2 linked regions of the Danio rerio genome follow. The protein of the gene in region 2 purifies or fractionates together with the protein of the main gene of each other region. This does not show direct contact. Links are inferred from orthologs where the notes say so. Each region holds a gene or a part of one and is shown on either strand. Other genes may lie near its edges.

Region 1 (3,667 bases), on a different chromosome or scaffold from region 2:
AATGTTCCTTCAAGCATTATTTTTCAAATAATTATTGTCAACTATGAGGATTAGGGCAAAGCAATAGTAAAAAAGACAAAACTTAATTAAATCTTGAGATTATAATGCAATATTAAACTCATATAATCATAATACAAGAACACATAAAATGTAAAAAAAAAAGAAACCTCTAACTAAAATTTTAAGAATAAAGTAATTGTGTTTTTTGGGGTGAAAAAAATTTACATTTAGAAAAAAAAAAAATGCTGCAAGGTGCTGTCCATGGCTATGGTGCTGAATTGAATGGGAAACTGTTTAATTAATCCTACTACTGTAATTTTAGTATCTACTCAAGCAAAAAAGCTAACTTTGTACATCATTTCCAGACATCAGAGAGCTCCTATCAATATGCAGGGTACTGATTTTGCATTTAAATGCGCAGAGGTGTTTCACTTTTACTTTCATTTTTGTCATAACAGGTTCTCTGTGTAAACTGAAAATGTTTTAGATTAGATAGTTTACAATGAGGTCATCATATGTTTAGCATGAAAGACTCAACCACAGTCTCTCTCTCTTTACTCTTGACCCTTGGGTGAGTTTGAAATTCTGGGAGTGGTGGGTTAAGAGTTTTATACATAGGCGGTGAGTGACCAGATAAAGAACTTGAAAGGGATTCACATGGCACAGGACATAATGCATATGCTCGCACAACACAAAAGTAATGTGCAAAGAATGTAAAATACAGGGTGCACAGACAGAGCTGCAGCTGCACCCGTAAAACCTGAAAGCCTTAAAGGACTTCTATCCAGTTCACTTTAGACATGAACAGTCGCACCAAAATCACGGATGTAAGCTACTATTAATTACAAATGAGTTTGTCAAACAGTGTATCTATGCATTTATTCACTTGCTTTTGACACGCAAAGTTAAACATCAAATGTTCTTCACAACTTCATTAGAGTGACTCTCTTTTCGTTCACTTTTATATTACACTAGTGATAAATAAACACATTTGACGCTTTTACCATGCTGAAAACTTATCTACATTGTCCACAAAGTCCAAAGATCAAACTTGATGGTCAATTAAAATAGGGTGCAAGCCAGGTAATCAAGCCAAACATGGAAGGACCAGATCATGCGATCTATATAAATCTGAGTTCACTTTAAATATCTGTGGCAAATACTGATCCTGAACCAACAGTTATAAGCAGCTTTTCTCTCGATAAGCAACTAGAGGAAGCAGCAAGCAGTGGTTTGAGTGAGAAGGTACCACGGCGAATGTTATCTTTCCTACTCTCAAGCCAGTGCTCTGCTAAAAATATGCATAACATCGAAATATGCATAATAATGACTTTTTTCTTGAACTTTTATGACTGTATTAACATCTAATTTTAACATTCAGACATTAAGAGTTTTTTTGTGATACACAATGACTTCACATGTAACGACTTTAATTTTAAGATTCCATTCTATTCTATTATTTTTCTTGAAATTTTTCTCCACGTCTGTTATTAAATGGTTGGGTAAATAAGTGAAGGTTATGAATAACGTATTCAACTACATGCAGAAAAATGTGTAACTCTTGGCAACCAGAATAAGACATCTCTTAAATAGCTGATGACATTTTTAAAACCACTGTTAAAAAAACAAACACACATTCATGACAACAAAAAGAAGGCACCACTAAACAAACCAGACAAACTGTATAAAATAAAGCATAGATATAAATCTTAAAGACATCATAAAGAAATGATGTAATAATGTCAATGCCAAACCTTCATGCTCAGTATTTGATCTAGAAGAACAAAGCACTGGGGCTGTTTTGAATCTGTGTTCAGTCCTAATCCTCTCTGTACAGGGTCCCATTTGAGCATCAGCTGTAAAAGGCCTTCCAAGGGCTCCAGTAGTGTCCTGTGGAAACAAAAACAAATTGATAACTCAGAAATAACGGGTTAACACATGTTAATATATATTTTAATTGTATGAAGTGTACCTGCTAAGATTGTTTGGGTATGGAAGGTGGGTGGAAAAGCGGACCTCGCCATTCATATCTTCCACAGCCATTATATCCTTCGGACCTTTGTTTCGCACTTTGCTTGTCCTAAAAAAAAATATATATGCTTACTTATACGCAACTATATGGCTAGGTTCCTCTTGAAGAAAGGGTATATGAAAGATGGCATTATCAGCATGCAGGTTATGAGGACACATACCACTGCACAGGCTGAAGATTGTGAAGAAATGGACGAAATCCACAGCAGCATTCAAAGATCATGGTGCCAAAGCTCCAAAAGTCCACAGTGACTGTGTAGGACTTGCCTTCAAAAAGCTCTGGAGCCTGAAATAAATGGCATGGCCAATTTATTATAAGAATATTTAAAAATATAAGAATGTATAAAGATGAATAAATCTGAACATTGGATCCAATTCTTACTTCTTTTTTCACATTTTAAAGTAGATTTTTTTTGTGAACAGGATTTTAAAAATAAATCTATTTTTATCAATCGATAATTGTGAAATCAGGGCTCTAAATTAACCTTTTTTTCAAAAATGTAGGCGCATCAGCCATAATTTAGTCCCACACACCAATAATAAGCACCGTTACTACAAGTTTTATAGAAACAGATTTATTGCATTTGAAATCAACACTAATCAAGCTAACAAGCAAAAAAATATATATGCATACTGGAGGAAAATATGTCTCAACGAAACCCCGTTATCACAAGAAAATACATTTTTATAACATAACTGACTGACCAAAAGATACACGGACCGCTCACCGGCCCTGCACGCACTGCTTGACATGAATGAATCTGTTAATCATGTAACTGTGCTGTTCTCCTGGATGGTGTCTGATATTGCACTGATGCTTTTGACATATACTGTACCTTATTATATGCATACGTCATGTTTATAGCAATACCGGTCTTTTCACGAGTAGCGATATTTGTTTACTCAGTGCAAGCCCATTTGTGATGGTGTACGTTGTGTTAAATTTTAACGTTACATATAGCTGCCACTTGCATGGCGGACAACATTTAGTGATTAAATAAAGGATTAAACAGAACCTCTCGTGCTAGATGTGGCAAACAGTTACCTTAAAATTCCATCCCACAGACTTTTTCATAGTGGACTTGAAGCCAATGGAAGTCTTTTAATAGCAATGTTAATAGCAAAAAAACATCCAAACTTCGAAAAGTGTAGATGGTGGATTAACATTCAGCACATGATCACTACTAAGATGTGTCATTATCTCTAACTTTAGATGCCATGGTTTCTAAAACAAAATCTGTCAGTGTTATCTTCATTCCCATCTTCAGTGCTTTACATTTTTAAGGTAGTAGCTCTCCCTGTCATCCCAAGCCATAAAACACTGACTGAGTGATTGTGACTGACAGCTGATATTAACCAATCCACTTGCGATCAGTTCTAGAGCAGAGGGCCAATAAGAAAAGCGTGAAGGCGGGGCAAGCATTACAGACTTGGTTTTGTTTACTGACGCAAAGTTGACATGTTGACAACTGTTTAAAAACCTTCCTGCGCACTGCGTTTCAAGTGCAAAGATGCATTCTGTGTGAATGTCTACCCAATCCGTGCATGTGGTGAACATTTTGCAGTAAAAACTGGTTGCACACAACAATTTTATGCTCTTACACAAATGCTCCCAAATATATTTTGAGGTCGCATA
Region 2 (3,667 bases):
GAGTCCCATGAAATACCTTGATGCTCTATGCAAGAACGAAGAGTTGGGCATCAATCAATCAATCAATCAATTAATCAATCAATCAATTGATCAATTCTAAAATGTATTGAGTTGCTCAAGGGAATATTTATAGGGATTAGATAATTGACCATAAGCATAGTCTTAAGCATTCATTTAGTATTTCAAGAATAAAACGAGATGGAATAGAATTAAATCAAACGTCTATGAAAATGAAAATAATATGTTCATATTTTAAAAACATGGCATTGCACAATGCATTATTATGTAGTGTTTTTTTATAGCAGATGACGCTATATGCAAGTTGTGAACAGATGGTGTTCTACTTTTTACTTTTTACTACTTTTTAACAGAAGATGGTGCTATAGGCTATGTTTTAATAGTCTATGGCGCTCTGGGCTAGTTTTTAACAGCAGACAGAACTCTAGGCTAGTTTTTAACACCTGATAGTGCTTTAGGCTAGTTAGCAACAACTAGACTAGTTTTTAACTACAGATGGTGCTCTAGGCTAGTTTTTAATAGCATATGGCGCCCTGAGCTAGTTTTTAACAGCAGAAGGCACTCTAGGCTAGTTTTGAACAACTGATAGCGCTCTAGGCTAGTTAAAAAAATAAGACTAGCTTTTAACAACAGAAGGTGCTCTAGACTAGTTTTTAACAGCAGATGGTGCTATATGCTATTTTTTTTCTGGGCTAGTTTTTAACATCAGACAGCGCTCTAGGCTAGTTTTTAACAACTGATGGTGCTCTAGGCTAGTTAGTAACAACTAGACTAGTTTTTAACAACAGAATGTGCTCTAGACTAGTTTTTAAGAGCAGATGGTGCTATAGGCTAGTTTTTAATACCATATGGTGCCCTGTGCTAGTTTTTTAACAGCAGAAGACACTCTAGGCTAGTTTTGAACAACTGATGTTGCTCTAGACTAGTTTTTAACAGCCCATGGCGCTCTGGGCTAGTTAATAACAACTAGACTAGTTTTTAACAACAGAAGGTGCTCTAGACTAGTTTTTAACAGCCCATGGCGCTCTGGGCTAGTTTTTAACAGCAGAAGGCAAGCTAAGCTAGTTTCGAACAACAGAAGGCGCTCTAGACTAGTTTTGAACAGCAGATAGCTCTAGGCTAGTTATTAAGATGGCACACTAGGCTAGTTTTTAACAGCAAATGGCAGTCCAGGCTGGAAGCAAATGCCGGTATAGGCTAGTTTTTAATAGTAGTCACTGCAAGTTAATAACAACAGATGGCACTCTAGGCTAGGCATTTACAGATGGTGCTCTATGATGGTGCGCTATGCTAGTTTTTAAAAAAGCAAATACTGCTCAAGGCTAATCTTTAACCACACACTCATAAGGATGAGCACTTGTGTGTTCAGCAAAATCATGCAAGCTGCTTTTATGTCACTAGATTAATGTTAACACAGCCCACACTCGAGACTTATTTACTCAAACCTTTATTCCCAACTTTATAAATGATTATTTTAAGTTCAAGTGGTATTTATGAATTAGGATGCAAGCAGGATACGGCTCTTTGTAAACCATACAGCAACTTCTGCTGCTAAAAACGAAGCATGAATCAGAATTGATTCATGAGAAAATAGCGGTGCATTTTGAAAATCTCATAAGCAATTACCTTTGCGTGGTAGCGGTGGTGCAGGCGTAAGGGGGGAAATCGCTAAGCGTCCTGAAGGCTCTCTAATGACCCCTGGTTGATCTGCGCTGACCGGACCCTCTCGACCAACAGTCTCAGTATCCCGGGAGCTCCGAGCTTGCTGTAAAATTTCATTTCATTTTATTTAATATTACTCTTCTATTTAATTTACATTTTTACACTGTTGTCTGTGATGCTCGATTCAAATTTGTCAGTTGCGAAATTTGAAGGTATGTTATTCCCAGATAACATCTGCTGAATAAAACAGGCTCATCTTGGAACTTTGAATCAATCTACCATTAGTGAATATGTCCATTAGTTCAAATTTATATACATACTTCCACATTCATATGTATCTGCTTGTCTGTCCCGCTGCTACATTTGACTGTTTGACTGTTATCTTGTGAATAAATAATATGTAAGGTTAGTCTATGCTTTATTTCATTTCTGTCAGTTTGTGTTGTTTGTCACCATCTTGTGACTCAAAGTGCAGGTTATTGTATTGTAACAGCCAATAAGAATCAGAATTCTGTTATTTCAGTGGTAAATCAAAGTCTAAATGTTTCCACCTTGACATAGTTTTATTTAGATTGTAAATAAATGTAAATGTAGATTTAATTATATATTAGCTGTTAAAAATATCTATTATGACCTGTTTATTTTTGTATGATTATTACATAAATAGTTTAAATAATTGCGGATAAAATCGTTTGTTAGTTTTATCATAAGAAATGTTGATATTTATATTATAAATGTTGCAATTGTAACAAAGATATGGCATATGGAATATTTTTCTAGTATCATGCAGCCCTATACACATCTTAATTCAATTTTGTGATTAATTCCTCACGATAATTTCTACAATCTTCCTATTTAAACGACCGAACAGCGGTAAAGGGCATTGACATTTGTTACATGCTTGTTTTCTAACCTGTTGAGTGCTCTCAATCATAGCCAGGGCCTCTGCCATTAGCTTCTGGTTGACGCCACAAAGGTTTGCTACTTTCTTCTGACATTTATGGTGAACGTTCATGCCACACTCTGCAAAGAAAACATTAAAATTAGTAAACCGAAACTTCATGTAGACATTAAACATTATTAAGTATATTTATATTTAATAATAAGTCATTCTTGTTAGTTTTAGGGTGAATTTGCACTACACTGCTTCAGAGGTTTTCAGGTAAATGCCTTATTTAATGTGCCTTATTGGCTTTTTAAATGCCTTATCAAAGTGCCTTATAGTTTTTTTTAATGAATAATTACATTTTACTTTTAATATCCATTTATATAAGCATTTTTTAACAAGCGTGGACAGATGTAGAACATTTTGGCTGATACTGATATTTCATTTTTAAATGTCATTTACAAATTGAATTTCTGAACTCTTCTTTTTGCTAACATAAACTCAGGCATTTGTTTTCTGAATGTTATGTATCATGCAGTACGTAAAGCACAAATCAACAGCATATATCTAAAGTGTAGAAATAACTCCTAATTTATTGGCTAATAATTAATTTTCTTTTTGGATTACAATGACAACATTATGCCATTACCGTAATGGCAGCTATTGATATGACCTCCGATGCATATGGCAATACTAATTTCTAATTTATCATCTTGTGGACCTCCATTACCATATCTATTCTGTTCTGTTAAAGACATCTGTACTGCAATGTCAGTGTACTATAAAAAGAAAAGAGGAAACACTATAAAAAATGCTGAGTTCCATGGTCCATATTGTCACAAAACAAATCGATTAAATTAACATAATAATTTTTTACAAATTTAAGTGGATTGAACTTAAAATAATTAAGTTGTCCGAAAAATACCTTAAGAATTGTGTTGTTTTAACTCATTTTAAATAAGTAGTTTGAACAAGTAGTTAAAGTAATTTTTTGACTCCAAATCAAACTTTAGACTCGCATAGCCAGATAAATTGTTAAAAAGTAATTACCTACTTAAATAACTAAAAGTGAGTTAAAATTGACAAGGGGACTTTACTTAG

Evidence for each region. Proteins that work in one complex are often made in the same cells at the same time.
Region 1: the proteins of prkcq (region 2) and chuk purify together in Homo sapiens (affinity purification with western blotting, with the first as the bait; 3 studies listed by BioGRID). This does not show direct contact. The link is inferred for Danio rerio from reciprocal best matches to the Homo sapiens genes PRKCQ and CHUK.

The regions. Positions count from the first base shown.
Region 1 is NC_133188.1:28,585,379-28,589,045, reverse strand, and holds part of chuk (inhibitor of nuclear factor kappa-B kinase subunit alpha), read right to left. Parts: intron 2,318-3,667; coding exon 2,193-2,317; intron 2,081-2,192; coding exon 1,973-2,080; intron 1,891-1,972; coding exon 1,755-1,890; intron 1-1,754.
Region 2 is NC_133179.1:26,076,499-26,080,165, reverse strand, and holds part of prkcq (protein kinase C theta type), read right to left. Parts: intron 2,704-3,667; coding exon 2,594-2,703; intron 1,784-2,593; coding exon 1,645-1,783; intron 26-1,644; coding exon 1-25. UniProt on the Homo sapiens protein: Calcium-independent, phospholipid- and diacylglycerol (DAG)-dependent serine/threonine-protein kinase that mediates non-redundant functions in T-cell receptor (TCR) signaling, including T-cells activation, proliferation, differentiation and survival, by mediating activation of multiple transcription factors such as NF-kappa-B, JUN, NFATC1 and NFATC2.